Linked DNA regions of Arabidopsis thaliana. The protein of the gene in region 1 interacts with the protein of each later gene in a pairwise test. Each region holds a gene or a part of one and is shown on either strand. Other genes may lie near its edges.

Region 1 (3,435 bases):
TTCCACAAATTTCCACATTTTTTAAAAGTGATTTCGATTCCTTACAAACTGAGCTCTGTGGTGTTCAGCTTCATAATCCACTAATTCCACAAGGAGCTCACGACTTCTCTTCCTTCAACATCTACTGTTTGTAGACATGATTTGCCAACGTTTTGTTGAGGAAACATAGTTTTGTTTTTGTTTGCCTCACATATTTATTCCATTTTTTTGTTTGTTATTTTTTTCTTTTCAATCTGCATATTTTTTCGCGGCACAACCTAAATGAAAAAAAAATTACATGCAATTAGATATGATTGTAAATCGTTATATATATAACAACGGCAAAATATTTAGACACTCCTAAAAGACTTCTGCGTTGATATATTTTTTTTCTCCTACGCGATATATGTCAATAATTACGTGATAAACATAATAACATACGTGATAATTGCATGCAACCCTTATATTTAGACGATTGATAATTTTTTCTCCTAGGCGTGATAAAACTTTTTTTGACGGATTTTTTTTTTTTGCATTCAACCCTTATATTTAGGGCTCGAATATGAATGGAGCTTTACAGACATTAATTGATCAAGAATGTGAGAGAGATTTAGATTATTTTTTATGTAAATGCGAAATTACATTAATTATCAAACATATATATACGAAATTAGTGGTGGAGATTGATTTCCGTAAACGCAAAGGGTCATTAGTCACAATCGAGCTACAGTAGGAAAGCCCTAAAGAGGCTACACCATGAAGAAAGAGCCCTAGTTGAGACAAATCCACGTGACTTTGGTTTACAGATTAAAAAGCAAAACCCTAAATAAGCAAATCGACCATAATCTCGTAAAAAGAACAGACAAAACACAACCTCATGTAGAAGGAACAATTTCTGCGCGCCGCCAGTGTTATTAATTCAGAATCATAATTTCACGATTTTCAACCCTCTCCTTTTAAGCTTCAACTCCAACATCATAATTTTCCCTTCCACAAACTACTGTATAAATCACTTTTAACTCTATTGCTTATTATTATTACTGTAATTCATTATTATTATAAATTAATGACCATTGATTATTTCCCAAAACACAATTAAAGAAAAGTGCGTAAAGATTAAAGAATAATATGACCAACGGAAATAGCTGAAAACGATGACCTTTGAATTTGTTCAAAAATAAATGAAATCAATGATTTTATAATTTTAATTTGTAAATTGTTCAAGAAAGTTTTCTGAAATATATTCATGTCTTTCACTTAAAACAAAAGAATAAATCGACCTTTAATCAACAGTATCAAAGGACCTTTATACTCTGACAATAAGAAAGAATGGTGCAAGGGTTAAGATAAAAATAGTACATCATAATTATGAATTTGTTACTTGTCAAAAAGACATGAAATATGTAACTTATAACTGCTTTTATGCAAGTCCGTAGAAAAGGAAAAAGAAAAGACATGTAAGTTCGAACGTGGAACAAGAACTTCGTTAAACGTACTTTTGCTTTCTGCATCTCTCATAGATTCACAACTCACAAGTCAATAAAAGATGCAATGCAAGTCCATTTTTTTAAATTATATATTGGGTCAGGTCCATCTTAAATTAAAAACAATAAAAATGTATATTTTATTTTCTATAAATACGTAATCAGCTATCATCACATTCAGGTGCCTCACAACCCTAAGACAATCACAGAACAAAAAGAAAAATTCTTAGCTTTAAAAATTTCCCTTAGGTCAACCATGGAAGAAGCAATCATGAGACTCGAAGGTGCCGAGCACAGAGAAACCAACATCCATTCTTTGAAAAGAAAGCCATCAAGAACTTCCTCGACAGCTCCTGGCTCTCCCGGAGGAGTAACTACCGCAAAAGCTGCCTCCGGCGCCGGCGCTTCCGGTGTCTCTACGATAAGGTACCGAGGCGTGAGGCGTAGGCCATGGGGTCGTTACGCAGCTGAAATACGGGACCCATTGTCCAAGGAGAGACGATGGCTCGGAACATTTGACACGGCCGAGGAAGCAGCTTGCGCATATGACTGCGCCGCTCGAGCCATGCGTGGTCTTAAAGCTCGAACCAACTTCGTCTACCCAATGCCTTCTCTCGACTCTTATCACCACCGTATTTTCTCGTCTCCTCCAATGAATATGTTCCTTCTACGAGACGTGTTAAACTCTCAGTCTCTTTCTCCGTTAACCACTTTCGCTTACCCGCCTTGTAATCTTTCTAACGTAAACGACGTTGTTCACGAGTCCTTCACTAACGTCAACGATGTCTGTGAAGATCTCTCGCCTAAAGCTAAGAGGTCAAGTACCATTGAGAACGAGAGCCTGATATCAAATATCTTTGAACCAGAACCAGCTAGTTCTGGTCTTCTTCAAGAAATTGTTCAAGGCTTCTTACCAAAACCTATCTCTCAACATGCTTCTATACCTCCAAAGAGCAACCAACAGTCGGTTGGTGTTTTCCCGACGATGCCAGAGAGCGGTTTTCAGACAGATGTTCGTTTAGCTGACTTCCATGTCGAAGGAAACGGATTCGGTCAGGTTAAATATCATGGAGAGTTAGGTTGGGCTGATCATGAGAATGGGTTTGATTCAGCTAAGATGCAGCAGAACGGAAATGGTGGAATGTTTTATCAGTATTGCTTTCATGATGATTATTAGAATATTGTTGTTGTTCTACTTTTTACGTGCTTATCACTTCACAGTTTCTTTAGGGTTGTAAGAAATGAGGTTAAGGGTAACTAACTCAAATCTTTTGTCTTTTAATTTTTCGTCTAGTGCTATGATCAATTTATCTCTATGTTTTAGCAAAGAACAATTTTTATCTGAGTATGAGCGAAGTTAATTAATTGTGTATGACATATGTCGGTTATGAGCAAAGGTAATAACAAAAATAAAGTAAAAATACTCGAGGTGCTGGATGAAGACAATACCTAAAGGACAAAAATATATATCTTGAACAAATTAAGATTTTTTTTTCTTTTCTATAAGTTGACTTCAGAATCATAAAGACAGCCTTTGTCCTCTTGCTTTTTCTTCTTTCCCTTTTCCCTCTCAGATCACCGTAAGGGCATAATTATATTTAGGTTCACAAAATCCTTTGTCCATTAAAGTATTTGCACCATCAAAACTCAGTAAACATATACTTAAGGACTCGAATTTGCATCAATGTTTATAACCCTTATTCAAAAAAACCATATCCCAATTATGATCTTTAGGGGTACTCTTCAAGTATCCAAGAGATCTTCTAAATATTGGAATTTCTAGTGGATGTGATATGAACGATGTTGGGACTGTCTTTAGTTTTATATGATCACATCAGTCTATATTAATTTTTATTTTAAAACAAAACATTATATAAAAATATATCATAAAATTATTCAATTATCGATATTCATTCAAAATAAAATCATAACACTTATTTGAATTTGAAATCTCGTTGTTACTACAATTCTA
Region 2 (4,641 bases), on another chromosome or scaffold:
AAAACCAAGCTTTATTCACATAATCAAGCTTTATTCATGTCGCTGATGATTAGAGCTTTACCTGTGGTCTCATGTCTCTTCATACCCTCCATTGACCCAGAGAACAGAGCTCTTGTCACACTCCCCATTGAAGAACTACAGCCAAGTCTTCCCCCGTTGGAGCAACACAGAGTCGAGGTTGGTGAAGACCTAAGCTCATCCTCTTCGTAGTTAGCGTACAGAAGTGGCGATTTTTTGTCGTGACTCATACGTTTTTTCAAAGAATGTGGTGGCGAGGAGGAAAAGGAAGATGAAGATGACGTAGAAGACCAAGAAAACGATGAGCTTGCCGTCTTCTTGCTACCGTGATTGCTCCTCCTGAGATCACTGAACATGGAGAAGGACAGAAACTTACTTAGTTTTGATCTCACCTTGCTTTGCGTCCTTGGTGTCGACAAAATCCCGGAGGAGTAGTATGAGGGCGGCGGTGTGAGAGGCAGAGGAAGAGAGGAATCGGAGCAGAGGTGGTTTTTGGGTGTTCCTGGCCTTGACTCCCATATGAATGGTATGGAGGCTCCGCCATAGTAGGAGGATCTCTCTTCATCGATTGCAAAGTCATCTTCTAGTCTTTCTGACATCTGTTTTTTATAAACTCTCGGTTTATGTTTGAGTCGGCTTTTGATGAGAATTGATGTACGAAAATTGAAACAACAAGTGCTAGTTTCGAAGCTTCTTTAGAGGTGACAAAGAGTAATATGTATTGCGAGTAAAACAAGTTTGCCGATGAAACAAAAGAATCTTCTTTGCACGGTTGTATATAATCGTGGATATTTATTCTGCTTTTTTATTTTCTTTAGGAAAAATTCATATGGATGAGCATATTACAAGTATATGGAAGATCATACATAGGGGAAAAAATTGGTTAGATAATAAATGAAAGGTGGCTATCTTACTGTATGCATTACTTAATGCGTTTTCATTAATAATAAGAGAGTCGTGAGGTGAGGATCACATTATTGGTAAACAGTTACTGTAGTAAGCATTGCTTAGAGTATTTAATATGTTACCTTTTGTGGGATTCCACTCTATAAACCTTTTTATTTGGTGTTCTTATAATTAAGGAAATAATTATTGACCAACAAATCCACACGTTTTAATATATATCAAGACTACTAACCTTGTTTGTCGTAATTTGAAACTACTGACCAAAAGTTTGGGGCATGTTCATCCAAAAGATATAATGGTTTACATTTAATGAAATGATAATTTAGATAGGATATAATAGGGAACTACTCAGAGTGTCAGACCAAACCATCTGAATACGTACCAATGTCAAGTGCTAACTGGTAACTCCCAACAATAGTAATTAGAAAAGATATATATATTTGTCGGTTCTAATTAGTTGGAAGAAACGTATGCGGAGAAATAAATAGAAACGTGAGAGATCGAAAGACGACGGTGATGAATTTGGACGGTTGAGTGAGGGAGGTCGTATAATTTAATGGTCGTTTCCAATCGTATTCGTACGTGGTCCGTTTTCTCCTACTCGGATTTTGCTTTAATGTGATGGCCACACAAATTGGTTAGAAAACTATAAGGGAAAGCTCCACCTATTTATTTCACTCATACATTTACTATACACTAATATCGCACGGGAAAATTATAACAATTTTCGGATATTCGTATTTGAACAGAAACAAACAACACATACGTAAGAATTTCCTTCACAAAAAAGCCCAATATAGACGAACTTGAACTTCGTACCAACGGCCCAATATCGCTTCCTTAATCAACGGCCCAAAATTTTCATTTATTAATTAATCAGATAACCAATCAATAGAAGCCACGTCGCCACAGCCATTAGTAGTAGCATCATCAAAGCCTGCATTCTTGTTCTTCGAGTCTCTCTCGTGAGTGACTTTCATTACCGAGAAAAACACAATCATAGAGAAGCTCTCAATCTTGTTTGCTTCTGATCAGTAACTATGATTACTGTAAATAGATCACTCTTTCATTATCTTTCCCTTTCACTTGTACAAACCAATTCGTTCTCGAGCTAACGGAAATGGCGGAGAGGCAACAGAGCCCTGCGGCGGAGACGATTCCCGGTACACCCGTAATCCGGGAAGTGAGAACCGGAACCGGGTCCGAGAATTTCAACCCGGAGAATACAAGGAGAGGATGCTTGAGAGCTGAAATCGACATTTCTCCACAGTTATATGGTGGTCGTGGGTTCTGGGTTCCCTTCAATCTTGAAGACAATTACGTGAGTTCTCTTCTAGTTTCCGATTTACAAAGTCTGTTCATTTAAAGTTTGAGCATTAATGTCACTGAAAGTTTGAAATGTATGTTCTCTAACTGTTAAGTATGCTAACAAACTGAATAACTGATAGCTGATTCGATTTGGTTACTGAGTAGATATTTTGTAATAAGTGATAGCTAATTTGATGTTTGCATTTGCGGCAATTGATTCTGGAACTAGCAAGATGTTATGTAAGATTTTTTTTTGGTATTATATAGCATGATTTGTTTTATGTTTTTTTGGTTTGTCATTCTTCAGGACTGTGTGGGAGAATTTGACATAAAGAGAATGGAAGAACAGACAGTGGAGCTTGAGAAGGATCTGATTATGAAAGAGTTAGAGACTCTGGATCTTCTTGAAGCTCTTGGATCAACCAAAAGGATTTTTGAAGATTTGAAGTGGCAGCTTCAGCAGCAAGCACTGAGATGCAAGGAGACCCCTCAACATTTGCGTTCACACTCCAAAGAGATGGTCGATGAGCACTGCCATCGTAATCCCCTGAAGTCTCCGGATCTGATGACCATGGAAATGAAGCAAGCTGGTATGAATCTTTGTAAAACCATGGATGATCTTGCGTTGATCCACTCTTATGCTGAATCTCTGAATATGAAAACGAAGGAAGAGAAAGATGTCCTTGGAGTAGCGTCTCTAGCGGAGGAACTTAACAGTTTGAAGTTTAAACCAGCAGGTCCTGATCAAGTAGAGAGATTCAATACCGAGAATTTACCAGTGAATCCACAATGTGAACAGATTAAGATGGTAGTTGAAACCTATGATACAGCTTTCCATAAACAGAGCAAAACCTGCCCGAGAACTGCAGATATGAGATTGGTTGCTGCAAGAAAAATGGAAGAGGCAGCAAGAGCAGCGGAAGCACTTGCGCTTGCTGAAATGACCATATTATCCAGCAGAAGAAACCAAGACGCTCTCTGCTTCCCTAAGACACCATGTTTTCCATTAACACTTAAAGCACAGATGAACAAAGAATTATCCACCAATGTCTCAAGAATAGAGATCTTGAGGAAGCTGGAGGAAGCTAACGAAGAAGTTAAACAAAGTAAACAAGCCTTGGAAGTTGCGTTAAACCGGGTAGAAATCGCTAGTGTGAAGCAACTTGAAGCAGAAGAGGCATTTCGGCAGTGGAACATAGAGTCATGGAAAGACCAGAAAGCTGTTGGAGCAAAACGCTCGATGAAAAGAGAAAGCTTTCCTCAGCGCTCTTTCTTGAGCCATATCAATCAGCACGAGCCACTGATCGATCTCCCTGAGCCAATGCTGAAACGTAACGTCTCAATGGGTAATGCTCTTAACCGAAAAGATGAGAAACAGTTGGTCACGCCGAGGAGAAAGTTTAGGTTCATACAAACACATCAAGCTTCCATTAGAAAAACAGAGTAAGCTAAAAAAATACCCAACCTTTGAAAACATGTTTTGCACATTTCGATTCCTGTTTTTTTTTATTCTTGGTTTGATCATTGATGGGTGTTGTTGCTTCCATCAAAAGCAAAACACAGATGATTAGAGTGAGATGTGTTGTTTTGACTCAAATGTGACAAAAAGAAAAACATTATAGTAAAAACTAAAGCTTCTAGTAATCATAATTAATTATGGGAGTTAGTGAAGGGCATTGATCATATGATTTAGGTGGTGGGCACTTTCTTAACTAATGCATTTTAAGTGTTAGATTAGCTAATTAGGTGATCCATAATCAATACCGTAGGTCCTCAACTGTTTATTTTTTAATAACGTTGGTCTTTATAATGTTTCTAGATTCTCAAAATAGAAACTGAAACATTCAGGTTGAACTACGGAGATAAAAACACATTTTACGATTTGACCAGTTTGTACTTTATACTGTATAAGTTTGGAGTGGTCAGATACAGAATGATGACGTGGTCAAGGCTTTTAAGACAATCTAGATATCTCCAATAACTTAATGCCACGTGTTTTAGTCTTCACAACAAAGATTTCGTCTGGAATCCTCGTATTGGCTTAGAGCGTGGGACCAAACGAAACCAAAAGAAGGAAAAGGAACTAAATAAATAAATAATTAAAAAATAAAGTTGAAAAGTAAGAGTGGCGTGGGTTAGCAAAATCATTGTCTCAGGCTAAAATGTGCCACTCCCAACACGTGGGCTACTCTTTTCCAAGTGTCAACTATCTGACGGTACGTTTGCACTTTTTTAAATTAGGTTGCTTTGCGCTCGTTTCGTGTCAATAATCCAAAGACAACGTCTTTATCTTTATTTATTAATTTTGTTTCTCCTAAACATTAAATGTTGTAGCTTTTTGATCATTTTTCATGTTGTAAAATATAATATAATACCCTCTGCTTTGCTTATAAAACGGAAAGGATGCAT
Region 3 (3,390 bases), on another chromosome or scaffold:
GCGCTGTTGCTCACGTAACATATATAGTTGCTGATGTAATTGGGTGTTTTAAAATCTATTTAGGATATTTTGGATGAATGATGATTATTTTTTTAGTCAATTAGATAGTGGTCACTGATCAGCATCCATAGAGCATATTCCAACTAAAGATTTCAACAGTTGGTGACCGGTCCCTCTGTGTTTTCCAATATATTTAACACAACTTTACATAATTTTATAACCAATATTGTTTAAGATTTTGAATTATAGCTAAAAAGAGAGAAAAAAACAATATTGATTCGGGCCATCAATTTTTTTGGACCAACCTTTGCTAGGAAAACGAAGATACACATCATAAGGTGACGTATAGAACAAAACGAACAGACAAATAAAGCATAACAGATGTAGTTTGTAAAGAATAAATGGTGTAGAACGAATAGAACAAAAGCTGAATAGATATCTTAATTAGTTTGGTGCGAGTAACGGATAAATGAGTTATCAAATTTTGACTAATGTTTTGAAGTTTCGAAATATATATATGATTGTATTAATCGGTATTTAACGCTTATGATTTTTCAGTTTATACTTGAATCACCCTACTTCTTGAGGTTGGTGTGTTGTCCAAATATGATTCACAAAAACATGACCAAGAGTAAAATCAAACCGCACCGTATTATTTTATTATGCTTCATGACACCATTCATAACCAAAGTCTTCTTAGTTTTCCCCATACACACCAATAAAGATACTAAAGAAATAGCTAATAAGTAATTTAAGAACTATGAATCGTAGCCGTAACTTTAACTATACAAGAATAGCTGTATAATCGTGACAGCCCTTGACTTTGGGAGATATTGTCCAATACTCCAGTTAAGAGAAAGAAGTGGGAATGTGGGTTACATCGACAAAGGCTTTGCTCCAAGTTAATTAATGGCTATAATTGGCGGAATATATTAGTGGAAAATATAAAGGTGAGAAAATGATTTCTACATGCCTTTTAGCAATTAAGAGAAATAGTGGAAAACAATTATTTTCTCTATATTCTATGAAATAGCAAAACAGAAAAGAAAGAAAAAAGAAAAAAAAGAAGTTCCCCTTTGAAATAAGTGGGGTTTCATTGAAAATTCAAATAGTACTACTCTTTCATTCTTTTAGTGTCCAGTCAACGTTCTCGAGAAGAAAATATATTCAACGATTAGTTTGTTGTTACATGAGTTTATTGAATTAAGTTTTTAGAATGAATATATAAAATCTTGAAAATTGGATGCTTCAGAAGCAATTTTCAGAAATTTTGTTCAATTCATGGTAATAAAATGTTCAATTAATTAAAGTCATTTTTCAAGTGCAAGAATGGTAATGTTAGCATAATACAGCGGATATATATATCCTCTTTGAGGATAAAGAGTTGGTGGATATAAATATAACTCATGTTATTTCAATAATAGTCACAATCTTTTCTTTACATGCGTATATGAAAACATATTTGCACAACTTATTCCTGAGTTTAGGACCATTATTAAGACGATGTATTATTATGATCTATTAACATATAGTTGTCTTTGATGAAATTGACAGCTCATTGGGGCTATAATGTAAGAATTGTTCATTACTTTTACTTACGAGCTACAGTTTAGACTTGTATAAATAGATTGAATTACTAGTATTTATGGTCCAGTAAATATGAAATATTCATTACTTTATATGTATAGCAATTAGATCAAAGTAAAATGGTCCAAAATATGTTTTAATCCACTTTATTCAATTAGACAAAGAAATTTATTCATTCTTAGAAAGCAAATACTCCATTTTAAAAAAAAAATATCAGTTTAAACAAATATTTTTCATTTTAAATCCGTTGCCATATGTATTATTGAAATGACAAGAGTTATTATGACTGAACCAATACATTTTACTATATTGATTGATAAATTTTTATTATAACTTATCTCGTGTCTCCTCTAAAAACAAATTTGTCTCTAACCAATAAAACAATTATATGGTACCACTAAAATATTCCAAAATATTAATTGGACCCAACGTGTATATCGAAAATAATTTAAAAGAGAAAATGTTCTAGAATCTAGAGGAAGAAAATAACTCACCAGAAATAAGAAAGAAGAAGAAGAGATATAGATACATTGAACCTAGACATAAAACCCACCCAAACCCCAGTCTCAAAGACGCCTATTAATAAGGAACGTTCAAGAACCAAAACAAAACACAAAAAAACTCAAAGTGACCAAAATAACCAAAAGGAGAAATCTTTAGAAAACCTTTAAAAGTTCTTAAAAATGGGGAAAGGAGGAAACTATGTGACGGTGGCGGCTTCCGAAGTGGACGAGCTACGACGGAAGAACGGAGAGATGGAGAAAGCTGTGGAGGAGATGAAGAAAGAGATGTTGCAGTTGTGGCGGCGGACACAGGTGGCGGAAGAAGCGGAGGAGCGTCTCTGCTCACAGCTAGCCGAGCTTGAAGCAGAATCTTTAGACCAGGCTCGTGATTACCACTCTCGTATCATCTTTCTCATGAACGAGCTCTCTCGTCTTTCTTCAGACTCTGCCTCTGCCTCTCCGTAGAATTAGATAGATATTTGCTTTTAAAGAAAGATAGGTTTTTTAGATTGTTTGATGTATCCTCTTATCGGCTCATATCAATGCCAATATGTAGAGTTGTCTTTAAAACAAATATGGAAGTTTCAATCAAAAAAAAAAATCGATGTTGTTACCGATTGATTTTTGCGATTAATGATGAATGAAAAGTCTTGAAAACAATTTAAAGTAAATGATATTCGATGTTTGGTTTGACTAAAATGGAATTTTGTTTGTAAGACGTGTAAATTACTTTAACAGAAAGAAAATTTAAAGCAATTATGGTCATGTTTCCTATTATTATATGTGAAATGACCAAATTACAAATAAAGATTTTGCTTTTAGATTTTTGCGTATTATATGAAGAAGTGTTTGAATTCTACTGAATCATTGACATTGCAACAGTGGTTTTGGTCTTTCTAGAGTTTGACATAGTAAAATTGGAGAACTTGGTTTGCTTTTGGGAGAAAAAAGGGAAACGAATATACGGATCCAACGCCAGTGTACTATGTACAAATATAAACAAAGGGTTTGTTTTTGAACAAATCTAGTTTCTGACAGAACCAGGTGACCTGACGTGGGCAAACAAGTCTAGTCTTTTTTTTTTGTTAACCAAAACCCTTTAATTTTTCATAAATTGTGATGCAATTAAAACAAACAAATATTTATAATGTTTTTTTTTTTGAAGTATAACTAGAATTGTCTTTGGAGAGACTTGGAAACTGATGATCCGAGAGGAGATCTCTTTGAATTATGAGAATGATAATAGTTATCTTGTATTTCTTTCTAACCATATAAAACGGATTTTCTGACAAAATGTTTT
Region 4 (3,083 bases), on another chromosome or scaffold:
TTTAGTTCCTTCTTTTACTCATCATGGTAATTGATGAGCCCTTTAAAGTTGTAATGGAAGTGAAATGTTTAAAAACCTTCCAAACTCAGATAATGTGACCTTGTAATTGTAGTTTTCTTACAACTTTGAGAAGAAGAAAAAACAAAGAAAAGGTGACATGTGATTGTATGAAATATGAATGACTGAAGAAGTGTTCTCTAATTTGTTTTTTAAAAGCAAAAATGAATTAGGAAGGAATTGATAGCTGTAAAATCAGTGACGTTATTGGATGATCATGTACGGGCTCTTCTTGACGCAACGGTCGGGTCAAAATCACGGATTATTGTTAGTGGGTCTCCACGTAATCTGGAGTGGGGACCCCTCATGAGGTGATTATTTCCCCCACAAGTTAACAGTTATAACGGTTAAGATTTTAGGTCATGAAAATAACCTCCTCGTTCTTGTCTTAGTTTGACCTTTAATTTTATTTTATTTTCATGGCAAATTTTTATTTGTGAAAAATGACCATTAAATTTTGCAAATCAACTGTCAAATTGTAAAATTAGAGATAAGAAAGCTAACAAGAGACATAGCGATTAGTTAACATTTATATATTAGTGTGATTTAAGATAGACAAAGAGCTAAGCTTAAAACAAACGCATCACTCTTCTCTCTCACTGTCTCTAATTCAACACTGGGATTAACCTATTTCTTCTGTCCTTAAAAACCAAAGATAAACCAAAGGTTGATATTTGGAGGATGAGATTAGCACTCATCAGAGCCAAAGAGCGCCAGCATCTTTGAGAAGAGGGACGAGTGAGCCATTGATATGTGAAGCCATCACTCTCTCCATTGCTCCTACCATCTTCCCTCCGATGAACACCACCGGAAGTGCCCCCGGAGATGTGGCGCCACCGCTGGAACAGCCAAGGAGACGGAGGAGAGCTCGGTGGATTTCAACTCCGTAAGGGAGGAGGTCGAGCTCGTGGACGGCGGGGCTGACGCCCATTCCACGGAAGAGACGCTTGATGGCATGGCACATGCAGCAAGTGCTCACGCTGAATATAACCACCGCATTCTCTGCCGCCATCGACTCTATCTTCGCCAGTGTCTCCGACGGAAACACATTCATGTTGTTCATCACCTTACTGTTGTTGTTGTAGGACAACGACCCTCGAGTTTCTGTTTTGTATTGCATCTTTTTTTGTATTCTTAGAGAAAAAGAGAAAGAGAATAAGAGAGTGAGAGAGCGAGAGAATTTGTGTGAGAGTTGGTTGGGGAGAGAGTGAGAGGCATGCAGAGTATTTATACATGGTGAAGTTCTAAATTTAACTGGTAGGTTTTAATTTATTTTAAAATGGCATATTATTAGAGAGGATATGCCAAATGATAACAAAGTTATTGATGTGATAGTCATGGACCATCATGGTTGCTAGCTTTTGTTATGATAGGATGATATTTTTAAGAGACATTTGAGTCCCATTTAAGTATAATTATTTATTTTTTCAAGATTTTACAACCATATAAAAGTAGAATATTATTCAGTTAAATAGGTTAGTAGAATAAGGGAATTGTTGGTAATGGATATATCTATCCTTCTTGTCGGCTTTTTCTGTAATATCTTCTTACACATTTACACTAGCTAGCTAGTTTTTGTCTGCGAAATTGGTCCAATATTATCAAATACAAATGGTCCAATATATGCATATATATAAATACAAATGGTCCAATATTCATGTGTATATATATATATTGTATATAGAGACGCGCCGAATAATAAATTTGATGCTGCCAACATTATGTGAGCAAGTCGTAACGCAGAGATGAGGTCGAATGTTTGGATATATGGCCGGTGGTTTTCCATTATATTCCGTATTCACTTTATGCTCTCAAATCCTCTCTAATCAATCTCTATAAACAAGCTACATATAATACCATTATCAATATGATCGCAAAAGGAGTGGAATATATATTTTGGATTGTGTAATCCAATTAGCATCTCACAAATGTAGCGCTAAACATATATACAAGTTGGAATATCTTTTGGTGATCAAGATCGAATTTCGTAACCATTTTATTATTCTTAGCCCCTAATGGGATATAGAAAATTGGCTAGTTAATGTTATATAAAAAGAAATAAAGGAGTCATCAATATTCTTGAGAATGAACTTTTAAAAGAGATTGTAGTTGCCAACAGTGTTTAGTTGCTTACCATCAGAATGTCAGTGTTCTTGATGTATGGAAATTACAAGTTGGCATGTGTTCTTGGTTTGCTACCATCTTTTTCTTTATATATGATTATTAAATGTTGTGAATTCAGTTAGACAAAAATGTATAGTTCCATATATATATAGTTTGGATTTGTAGATAATTTTACCAAAAGGCTGAGAAAAAAGGTTGAATTTTACAAAGTTGGTCACATGCTTTTTTGGCTTTCATGCATGCTTCTGCCTTCCTTTTGTTATCTGCAAAATTTGCCTTCTTGTTTCTCATGTTTGACCAACCCCTTCCATAAAAAGGAAAAATGCTAAAATAAAAACATTTATCGTTGTCAGCACAAACAACTTGTTATGAAATTTGTAGGTACCCAATCTGCAATATAGAGTCACCTCTCATCGATTGATTATATATGAATAATATCCCTAAATTATTCATATTCTATACATCGATCTATTTGAGAACATTTCTGTTACTTTTTAAGAAAATAAAAGAAAGCTTAAGATATGGGTATATATAGTTTAAGTGAGTCCGAAGAGTTAAATGTCCCTTCATTGGTTTAAGATTTGGTGTATAAACTAATTAAAGCTGATTTATATGATTTGGAGGACTAAATCTTTGTTCTTAAGATGATGATAAAATAACAATCTTTGAGGGATTGCGTTTGTCGGACCACTTTATCATATATTATATGGAAAAAATTGGAAGGCCGTTACAGAAGCCTTACGTAACAGATTTCATCAGATGTGTATTTCTCGTTGACCGGCTGGTCGGTCGGATATGACCCTGGTCAAGTAACTGTTGCTTATGCTTTTCAGGAAGGGTATTTTCGGTATCATTTAAAGTGTTTCTTTACTTTCTAAGGGCATCTTCAAGGCTCAACACCA

Evidence for each region.
Region 2: the proteins of DRNL (region 1) and AT3G56270 interact in binary tests that used the Arabidopsis thaliana proteins (3 or more experiments, as listed by UniProt).
Region 3: the proteins of DRNL (region 1) and LSU2 interact in binary tests that used the Arabidopsis thaliana proteins (3 or more experiments, as listed by UniProt).
Region 4: the proteins of DRNL (region 1) and ROXY2 interact in binary tests that used the Arabidopsis thaliana proteins (3 or more experiments, as listed by UniProt).

The regions. Positions count from the first base shown.
Region 1 is NC_003070.9:8,713,594-8,717,028, reverse strand, and holds DRNL (DORNROSCHEN-like protein), read left to right. Parts: upstream 1-1,650; 5' UTR 1,651-1,719; coding exon 1,720-2,640; 3' UTR 2,641-2,664; downstream 2,665-3,435. UniProt on the Arabidopsis thaliana protein: Required for correct embryo patterning and cotyledon organogenesis. May positively regulate the gibberellin signaling pathway leading to germination, hypocotyl elongation, and leaf expansion.
Region 2 is NC_003074.8:20,868,176-20,872,816, forward strand, and holds AT3G56270 (WEB family protein (DUF827)), read left to right. Parts: upstream 1-1,824; 5' UTR 1,825-2,044; coding exon 2,045-2,245; intron 2,246-2,539; coding exon 2,540-3,679; 3' UTR 3,680-3,932; downstream 3,933-4,641. Other genes in the region: AT3G56260 (uncharacterized protein), read right to left, coding at 24-617.
Region 3 is NC_003076.8:8,442,637-8,446,026, reverse strand, and holds LSU2 (response to low sulfur 2), read left to right. Parts: upstream 1-1,925; 5' UTR 1,926-2,270; coding exon 2,271-2,555; 3' UTR 2,556-2,748; downstream 2,749-3,390. UniProt on the Arabidopsis thaliana protein: May be involved in defense responses monitoring. Probably implicated into osmotic stress signaling.
Region 4 is NC_003076.8:4,540,009-4,543,091, reverse strand, and holds ROXY2 (Thioredoxin superfamily protein), read right to left. Parts: upstream 1,313-3,083; 5' UTR 1,178-1,312; coding exon 755-1,177; 3' UTR 507-754; downstream 1-506.